Linked DNA regions of Drosophila melanogaster. The protein of the gene in region 1 interacts with the protein of each later gene in a pairwise test. Each region holds a gene or a part of one and is shown in the gene's direction. Other genes may lie near its edges.

Region 1 (3,230 bases):
CAGGATATTGCTCCCTGGCATAAGGCCAAACTGATTACGAAGTTACTGAAAGATGTTGGCGTAAACACATTGGATTGGCCACGTCAAAGTCCAGACCTCAACATAATAGAAAACCTCTGGTCATATTTAAAAAGAAAAAGGAGTGCAAACTTATCTAGAAGTCGCGAAGAAACGATTTTGGAAATTCAAACCTTATATTTCAATAGATTATATCCACAGCTTGGTACAGTCTGTACCAAAACGTCTGCAAAAGGTGACGCTAAGGGAGGGTATATTTTTTTATTAATTTGTCATAATTTTTTTTCAATTTATAAAATTTAAATAATTTGCCCAAATACTTATGCCATTGCTAATTTGTAAGAAAGTGATTTTTGTTAAATCAACAATGAAGTTATCCATATGTTTATGTTACCTCTACATTTAACTACGATAGCCTACCTATTTACTAAAATTATTAAACAATTTTGCTTTAAGTAAACAATAAGTTACAAACAAATATATTGAAAATATTTCTTGTCCAAATACTTATGCCCACTAGTGTATATATATGTATGTACTTCCGTAGAGTGCCGCGACTATTAGATACCGCTTACTCAAATAACTGAAGTGCGACAGATGTGCAATCAGTAGAGACGACTCTTTTCTATTAACTTTTTTAACTTCTATTAACTCTTTTTTCATAGGTTTCTACTAAATCAGATTCTAACAGTTCTTGGAACGTAGATAAGCATTGATAAGCTTAACTTAATATCATTAACGAATACGTTCAGAATGTAGGCAACGGGTATCATAAGCAGAATCTTCAGATAAATTACCCGGCACTTATAGGAGGTCTTATTTCTCAATGTCCATTTTGTAAGCTCTTCGACAAGAATGGTTTTCGCAAAGTTATTGGGGATAAACAATATAAGCACAAATAAGGTATGTATTCCGACCATAAAAACGCGTTGTTTGTCTTATTGAAATCTAATGGTCGGTCTCACCGTCACACTGTTTTGTTTTTTGAACGAACGATACCGCTCCCAAGTGAGAACTGCCGGTTGAAGACTTTGTCGACCTCGAAGTAACAAGTCGACAAAATGTGGTAAAAGCTATCGATTAATGGGTTCATCGAATAAGTAATGAGAAAAGAAAATAACTATAATCGATAGGCTTTTACTTAAATTTCATGACGAAAGTTTCGGAGCAATCGGACGGACAGGGTCAGATCGACTCGGCTATTGATCCTGATCAAAAAATATATACTTCAAATGGTCGGAAAAGGCCTTCGGCATTTTACATACTTTATAGGGTATACTAGCCTTTCAAATGTGTAGCCATTGCAGTTTTGGTCAGCATGCGGGTGTGTAGGGGTCACAAGAGTCTACATGTCCAATGGTAATGCCCATGTAATATACATGATTTTCAAATTCACATTACAAACAAGAAATGCTTGTTTGGGCTTTGCTGATGGGTATCGTGTTAATATCAGTTGGAATCATAGGCATATCCGTTAAAAAACCTCCCTTTTGAATTTCGCATTTGGATTTGGTTCAGATCAGCACTGTCAACCTCATGCCCATATACAATGGTTCACAGCTCAGTTTAACCAAAGACAATAGTATATTCTATTCGCAACAGCTTTTAAAATTTAAAAAGAAATATCTTCTGAACATATCTGTAAGTCTCACACTAGCTCACACTTCTTTGCTGGCAAATTTATAAAAATTTGAATCAGAATGTATTTCCGAATATTAAATTTAACCATGGATATGCGCTTTTTATTTAAAATTGTTTGTCTGGCACAGCTACTAGCCCCCTGATATTATGCTGAAGAATGTTTCAGAAAACCACTAGAGTATACTCGCCCAGCGCCCTAATACAGACGGTTACTCATCATACTTAATTCTTTTAGGCATGCCGTCGAATTCAATTATTGTCAGGACAGCATCAAAGTTAGTTTAATCAATCAAGTCAATCACAAGTCAAAGTCAATTTCTGTTATCTCAACACCTCTAAACACTTGACAGCCGCGGTAACGGAATATTAAACAGGCGAGAAAGATGGCCACAAACGCAATCGTATAAAAAGGAAGCGCCAACTTAGATGTTCACCAGTCTGCCAAGGGCACAGTAAAGCATGGGACCTAGAAGCTGTACGCACTTCGCCACGCTGTTTATGCCACTCTGGGCATTAGCCTTCTGCTTCCTGGTGGTGCTGCCGATCCCAGCGCAGACGACTAGTCTACAGAACGCTAAGGATGATCGGCGACTACAGGAATTGGAGTCAAAAATTGGTGGGGAAATCGATCAGCCCATTGCGAATTTAGTTGGACCATCATTCTCTCTATTCGGGGACAGGCGTAATCAGAAAACAATGAGCTTCGGTCGCAGAGTGCCACTAATTTCACGCCCAATAATACCAATTGAGCTGGATCTCCTCATGGATAATGATGACGAAAGAACGAAAGCTAAGCGGTTTGATGATTACGGCCATATGAGGTTTGGTAAAAGGGGAGGTGATGATCAGTTCGATGACTACGGTCACATGCGTTTCGGCCGATAAACACTTGCCATCAGTTTAGTCATTTAGAAAACCGATTATGTATATTGTACATAGAAATTAATCGAGCACACATTTTATATTAACAAGTATATAAAAAGTAATAAATGTTCGCATTCAAAAATTTAATATTTCGTATTATAGCCGAATTCTTAGAGTAAGCTATGATGGATTCATTGAAAAAAGGATTTTTAGTCCCTTGCATATAGGTGTATTGATTCCTAGCAGAATTTATCACCGCGGTAAAAAGCCTCCATTTATCCGGTATATAAAAAAAGGGCTGCACCTTCAATATATAAAAAGTTTTATTTAATTATTTGTGACGAAAGCATTTGAAAGGTTCTCCGACTTTCGAATTGTGAATACCTTTTAAAGACGCATCGGATTTACTTAACAAGAATTATTGTCGTTGATGTATGTTTCCCTTAGGCCCATTTATATACAGCTGTGTTCAGAAAAATAGCAGTGCTTTGGACTTGAGAGTTTAAGATAAAAATTTCCTATGATTTACAGTTTTAATGGGAAATTTTTTTTTATAATATCATTAGGTATTTAATTTCAAACAATTTAACAAATGTTTCACTTTTATTTCTTCAATAGTTTCGAAAATATAGAATAAAACAACATAATAGGCAGAAATTCTGGTGTTCAATGAAATAGCAGTGCTATGAAAAAATAGTAACAAAATT
Region 2 (3,761 bases), 5.6 Mb from region 1:
CGACCATAAATGGTCTCTAATAAACTGGGTAAAAATCTCGGACATTACACTTAAATTACAAATTGTTTGTTTGCGGCCGCTACACATTATCAATGTTATTATCCTCGTGATCGTCGACCAGCGTGAATCCTTCATCTTCAGCTACACAGCTTTTGCTCTTGCTTTTGCTGCTGGAATCGCTTTCATCTAAATTTTCTTTTTTCGATGGTGTGGTGGGAGCTTCCTGCTTTTCCTCTAGCTCTTGGACGCCCGAAACGTCTGGAATTCGCTGTAGCGACTCCTTTGGAACATTTCTCACGTTAATTACATTTAGCAGCATCTTTAAGTTGTCGCCCGATATGGAGTCGCCTTCGGGCGCCCGTGCATTAATGGACTGGTGAATCGTTGGTGTCCCTTGTGGCGCTGGCTTGTGTAAAAGTGACGCCCATGCTCGGGGGCTTAAAATGTATTTAAAGCACAGCTTTATGGTGTAACCCACTAAAAACACCAAAAGGACTGGTGCAAGGAGGTTATACGGGAAGGATAATCCGGCTATGGGTAAATATGGTAATTAAGTGGTAAGTGGTAATTATTGACTGTGCGAATTCTTGGTTAAATACTTACAGGACAGTTTAGTCATAGTTACCGACACCTTTTCTATCATGATTTCCAACTGCTTGATAAATATGTTATTCATGTACATAAAGAACACTTGATCTGGCATGCAAATGGAAATGCTGATTTTTGCGGATTTTCTGAATGGAAACGATCATCAATCGACTTATTTAATTATATGTTATGGTCTTACTTGATCATTTCTATCTTCTTAGTTTTTGGTGAGGCTTGGTATATGTAGCCTAACAGTCGACCAAACCAGGACGATTCAGGCTCATGGTGATGATTTACGACCTCTATCATCCTATCGATGTCTAATTCCTAATTATAAACATATAATGAGCACAATTTCACACACTTTCAGGCTAGACCTACTCTGTTGCATTCTAAATAAGTCTGAATATATCCGCACAGAAACACGCCTCCTAGTACAATTGAAATTAGTCCGACACGGAAACGTTTGTGCACAATGACGACAAGTGCAATTGCTAATGTTGCATATAGGATAAATTTCACCTAGGAATGAGAAAACCCATTAAATAGCAAATAGTCAAGTTTCCATAAAAAGGCGCAACAGGTACCTCGGTCGTTTGCGTCAGTTCAATTACATCCTTGAAAATATCCACCAATAAGGAGAAAAAGCCGTGTCGGACGTATGAGCATCCGGATCTTCCATTAAACAAAGGAGCCTCCTCGGCACTCTCCAATATCTTAGTCAGCAAAACGTCCAAATCCCGAGCATCCTGCACCCTCTCCAGTTCATCCAGTTGCGATGGGATCAGGGAGAAGAGCAGCGATCGCTTATGGACCGCCGACATAACATCGTACTAATTACACAAAAGTTACACACATATGACGTCATGTCGCCAACTTTGGTCTAAACAGCGATCATACCTGAAAACGCTTGCGCTGGAACAGCAGATTGACGAACTTCTTGAAGTATGTGAGTGCCACGGCATCCTCCATGGCCACTGGAGACACATCTGGACACGTAGGACACTGGCACAATTCACCGGGCTGATTGATATCGTTAACCAGGTCCGACCAGGCGGGATCCGGACTCAGCCAGGACTCATCGTTGCCGCTCTGACAGCATACCCTGTGCAATACCAACAGGAAACAACTGACCGCTGCCTCCGTTCTCATTGTCCTGGTTTCTCAATGTAATCACTCCTAGGTAGTAAGCACTCGATAATAATTATAATTCAGCGCAATTTCGTGGTAAGGCGGCTGATGCAAATTGGCAGTGTGACCAAGTCCAGTTAGCAACATCACAGCGTCACGTCAGTGCTGCAATATCTACTTATCACTTCAGGAAAATGTAGCTTTATATTTATTAGACAAACATGCTTTTATGATTTTTCTTCACTTCTACTGCAAATTGAATTATTTTTATTAAACATCTTTATCAAATAAATCAAACAAATTGTTGTAAATTGACCAAGATCAAAAATCGTAACTGCGAAAAACAAAGCATTAAAATAAAATAAAAGCTAGACTGTCAGCACCAAAGCTTTATGCGATCGCTAGATGGCCACACTGCGTGTTGTGAATAACTGTTTAGCCAGGTCAGCACTGCACCAATAATTGCAAGCTTTAAAACCGAAATAAAAACCACGAGGAAAATGGTTAGGTCAGCTCTCGTTGTTGCAGCCATCGCACTTTCCGTACTTATTGCACTGCAGGGCGTGGATGCCGACAAAAAGCAGAGCAAGAAGTACAGCAAGGAGGCCAACGACCCGCATTTTCAGCAAGTAAAGCAGGAGAAGTATGATCCGGATTTTAAGAGCATCCAGCGGCCATTTCGCATGGCCAAGTTGAATCTCGTGTGGGCCAAGGCGCAGAATGTAAGTGGACACCATAAGATATCTCATATTTAACCGTACTAACCTCGGTTACAGCGCTTAACAGAGCCCAAGCTCAAGTCACTGTACATGGAACTCAAGATCCACGATAAGGAGGAGATCGCTTGGAAGCAGCTCAACTCGCAGCACAAGGACAAAGACGGGCTGAAGGCCGACGAACTGCGCCGCAAGCTCATTGGCATCATGAGCAGCTACGATCTGCTAGAGCATTTTGACGACACTCAGGATACGGAGAAGCTTAAGCCCTACAAGGTACGTATCTAAATCATCTTTCCTAAGAGCAAGAGTTTCTCTACATCCAAGTTAACTTTAAGAAATTCCACGACGCCGAGGAGCGACACAGAAACAAGAGTCTTTTCAAGGACAAGAAACTCAACCGACTTTGGGAGAAGGCCGAGATTTCCGGATTTACTGCAGAGGAATTGAAATCCTTGAAACAGGAGTTTGACCATCACCAGGATAAAGTGGATGTGTACTACAGCTTGCTGGAAAACATTGGCACCGTAGACACCGACAAGCATGAAAGTGAGTTTGGCTAAAAACAGCACGAAAAGCATCAATTAATTTCATTGATTATTCTCGTTAGATGCTATTAACACGGAAGACTTGGACACCTACAATCTGATTTCGAATGATGTCAATGAGAACGACATCAAAACCCATGCGCAAAACGTGAAGAGTTTCGAGAACGACCTTAACACTCTGCGAGGACATCACACGGGCATCAAGGATCACTACGATAGGCTGGAACGCCTGGTGTCCTCCGGTCCACACAGTCAGGACTTCATTGAACCCAAGGTCCAGGGTCTATGGCGAGTGGCCCAGGCTAGCAATTTTACGGTTAAAGAACTGGAGTCCATTAAAACCGAATTGCATCACTTCGAAAGTCGCCTATTAAAGCTGCGTCACTTGCATGCCGAGCATGCTTTGCAAAAGGAGAAATACAAGGTATATGTTTCTTAATATCAATCAAGTTTGTAAGCCAACTAACAATTATTTATAGGGCGAAAAAGTGAAGGACAAAAGCAGCCGCTTTGAGGAAATGGAGGATCAGCTGAAGAAGCAAACTCGCAAAGTGGAGAAGCTCCAGGAGAACATTGAAAAAACCATCTTCAAGCACACCGAGCTTTAATAATTTGAAAGTGAAACACTGAAAGTGCCAAGCGAATAAATTAGATTTAATTGCAACTGTTTGTGTAACGCACAAAAATATTCATTCTTGCTGCTATTCAGCATAGATATAATTTTGATACCAAATATCATTTGAACATAAATAAAATCTCAAGTTTAATTTTGAACTAT
Region 3 (3,761 bases), on another chromosome or scaffold:
TATATAGTTTATATGCCTGTTACAAACTTTTCAACGAATCTAGTACACTTTACTCTACGAGTAACGGGTATAATCAGTCAGTTATTAGAAACCTGTCAAATCAGTGAACAAATCTTTTTCTCTAGTATCGCCGGCATGGAAGGCCGCAAAGAATTTCTGAATATTTTGTTGGTCATACAAATCATCTACATTGTGCCGGTTGGGATTATATGTTTGGTGATCGTGGCGTTTCAGGTGACGGGCTATCGTCTCAATGACTTTGTACTTTTCTCCTATATGAACTACATAGAGCAACAAGCCCGTTCGTACACTCCGGAATCTTGGGATAAAGGACTCAACATAATAGTGTGGATCCACGTCGTCATCCTATACGTGGTATTTCGAAAGAGGGAGTGTTTGAGGGTGCAGACTCTAGAGGACACTCGGCGCCAGTTTGAGATCGAAGATCTTTTTCGGATGGAGACTGAGTTCATGGAGCAGCTACGATCCCAAGGCATCGAACTGGAGGATTCCACATTGGATTCGAGCTGCGTATAAGCGTCTTGGCGGCGCATTCAGGAGCCAATCAAATATCTCGTTAATGCCGCCGCCTTGGACAATGTTAATGCTGTATTCATCGTATGAGCGTATATATAGATCGCTCGCTTGATTGCCCAGAATTGAATTCAACATTTGTCCGCCGTGCGCTACACCTACACTGCTCAATTACCAGGCCGATCCAATATAATCCTCCTCGCCCGAGTTGAACGTGCTCGGCTGGCATTACTACACACAGCTTTTATACTATATGTACACATATGTATTATCGCACTGTGAGATAGTTCATTGTTTGGTTCTGCGCATGAGTATATTTTTATCGCGCACTGTGCCCCTTTCTTTCCACCACTTGTGTGCACTTTTTACTGTTTGAAATAAATTGTAAATGATTTTTATTAAAATTTCCGCTTAAATTTTCAGCGGTAATACTGCGCTCTATTTGTATCGCTTCTATTTTTTTGTGATTTAAAAATTTCTTGCGGAAAACAAGTTTGCCGCGCTAATAAAATTATTTTTATGGCGCATAGTTTCGCGATCTTCTCATATCCCTGTACATGGCACAGATCACTAAATCTTTTATAAAACCTCACTCAGCATTTTGTGGTGATGTCACAGGCCCTTTCTCAACAAAAGGCCAACTATTTAAGTTCGGAAATACCGAATTTCCCTCTATATACTTTTATATATAATAATATATTATAAATATTACATTGTATATTGGGATCCCTGATGCCGAAATAATAACGGAATTCGTTGAGGTAAATGAATGGCTTCTTAAATTTTGTGTAGTTCGGATAGAAATGCTTAAGGCACACTTCGCCTCACGACAGTTGTCCACGTGTCTTTAACTTAAGAGAAAGGCCCTGCCTGGAAAGTTTACAACCATTTTTGATTTTGATAAGTGACGACTTAAAATATTATTTCAAGGAGTCAGCACTACTCTGCAAGTGTTTCCAGAACGCGATCATGGCAAATTGTTTGCTTGATTTATGATGATCACTCTGCGGACTTACTCAGAAATTTTCACGTGAAAATTAAACCAAATGCATTTTAAATAAAAGGCCAACCATGCACCGTACACGGAAAAATCGTATCGTAAAATCGTCCCGTGTAAATTCACCATTTGTATTTCCGACCATGATGCACAGAAGCGCACTTCCAACGAAACGCATGTCCATCTGTTTTAGGGTCGCCCTCGTCCGTAGTCGGGCCGAAATTCACCTGAACTCGCGGTGCTAATTTCCATAAAACTTTGCGCAGCCGCAGAAGAAAGTGGCGATTAATGAGCGAAAATGCGACCTTCAGACTGCAGCGGCGCACTGGTGGATGGAAACAGGTATACAAGGCAAAGGAGCGGCACAGATTTTCCCAAAAGTCCCGCCATCCGGTGCACTCACCTGAGAGAGCGTGATATATACATATGTATATATAGAGACAGGGAGAGCGAGATAGAAATTGAGAAAGAAAATCGGGGAGATCGAGCGCTTTGCTACAGGTGAGAGCTGAGCTATAAGCCGAGCGCGGCGAGAGCGCCGAGCCTAACGTAAGACCTCATTCGTTACCGTTACGTGGTGCGAGGCGGTCATGTGCGCGGAACTTGTGTCTCACCTTTCCAGGAACTAGTAAGAGTATTCCAGCTAGAATTTAAATCAAAGTTAATTTGTCAGTGGACAAAAGACGTCGGAAATAACGCCGGACTGACCCATCGGTACGTTAACGGTCACTGAATTCGAATTCGCTATACCGCTACGTAAGTCGCAACGCAAGACGCGATCTGTGCAGCGAGATCTGAAGTCTGAGTGGGTTCTCTCAGTTCGTGATACGGTCTCAAAGTCAGCGGTTGCCGGTCGCTCCGCCATCGCCATCGCCATCGCATCCGTTTCTTTTCTTTTCGATCCGTGCCCGCCAGGGGAAATAATTCGAAATACGATGGCCGAAGGCAGTGCAAACAGTGTGCAATCTTTAATAAATCACTAAGAAATTCTGTGAAAGGGGAATCGGAATCACGCAGAGCCGAGTGCAATTGAAAGGCTCGCGTGTAAGTTGTAGGTCCATTGAAACGGTTGCAGAAGTCCACACACCATATACACCTGTAACACACCTGTCGCACACAAATCTTGGATACAAAGTGAAGAAACTCTACACTCTACATTTCGGCGATACAAGGTATGTCTGAAGATATTTACGCCTCGAACATTCCTTTCGGTATCAGTGCAGTTAATAGATGCGCAGATTTTTCTCGGGGTTGGTGGCGTTCAGGGGATGAAACCAGGCTTGATACGTTTCGGTTATTATTCTGGAAAGTGCGTAGTTCGAGAAAAATACGCAGAGATTATGGTTATTTCCTTAGTCTTCATTAAGAAACAATTAAAAAATATATACCCGCCCAAAATCTCAACCTTTATTTAATTCAGTATCATTGATGTAAAGTGCTTTATAGCATGCGATCTACAACTATTACTATTAACTTTCGGTTCTCATTTAAAAAGGAGCTACCCGTGATTATCCCATTGTAATGTTGATTACATTATTTTGCAACAAAAGATGGTGTTTTCCGAATTTTGTATGTGCTCACATTATGAGTTTCAATAGAAGTAAAGTGGGCTCGGTAACTAATCGCTTTGTTGATGGAAAACAGTTCATTAGTGTCAGAAGCAAGCTGGAAGCAAGCGGTGTTCTCAAAAACTTCATGGACAATTTAAGCTTTATTTCGTTGAACAATTACAATCGCTGTTGGGGAACAAAATTTAAGTGTACACGTTGGTCTCTATTAGCATCAGCAATAAAATCTTATTGACGTTTTTTCCAAACAGCAAGTGCAATTGCAACAATAATTTGCCACTGCGGCCCAAGTCCAACTCGCTGGCTCTTTCATTTGCAATCGGCTGTCGAGAAAGAAACTCAAAACTTTTGACAGGCAAATTAATGAAACTCGAATTGAGAGCGGCTACGATTACAGCGTGCAATTAAAGCAACACACACCTGAGCAACAGAAAGTGGGGCGCGGATCGAAAATCCCCGATCAAAATAATCTGGAAAACGGCCAAGAAATATATATATATATATATATATATATATATATATATATATATTCATATACATATGTGTATGGAAATATCGTCATAAGGTGTTTGCATTTTCGTATTCGGATGCAACGCGAAAGCAAGAGTGATTACATAAACTGAACTTTGGTGATCCGGTTTGTCGGATGGACCTGGCGTTGG

Evidence for each region.
Region 2: the proteins of Dsk (region 1) and CG8507 interact in a two-hybrid assay, tested with the Drosophila melanogaster proteins (one large-scale study listed by BioGRID).
Region 3: the proteins of Dsk (region 1) and Ptr interact in a two-hybrid assay, tested with the Drosophila melanogaster proteins (one large-scale study listed by BioGRID).

What each region holds. Positions count from the first base shown.
Region 1 is NT_033777.3:4,189,122-4,192,351, reverse strand, and holds Dsk (drosulfakinin), read left to right. Parts: upstream 1-2,091; 5' UTR 2,092-2,118; coding exon 2,119-2,544; 3' UTR 2,545-2,660; downstream 2,661-3,230.
Region 2 is NT_033777.3:9,789,351-9,793,111, forward strand, and holds CG8507 (uncharacterized protein), read left to right. Parts: upstream 1-2,132; 5' UTR 2,133-2,219; coding exon 2,220-2,441; intron 2,442-2,495; coding exon 2,496-2,711; intron 2,712-2,773; coding exon 2,774-2,984; intron 2,985-3,045; coding exon 3,046-3,407; intron 3,408-3,462; coding exon 3,463-3,591; 3' UTR 3,592-3,748; downstream 3,749-3,761. Other genes in the region: CG12945 (uncharacterized protein), read right to left, coding at 80-531, 604-734, 788-915, 970-1,110, 1,176-1,421, 1,489-1,740.
Region 3 is NT_033778.4:6,194,594-6,198,354, reverse strand, and holds the start of Ptr (Patched-related), read left to right. Parts: upstream 1-2,034; 5' UTR 2,035-2,703; intron 2,704-3,761. Other genes in the region: CG30432 (uncharacterized protein), read left to right, coding at 136-537.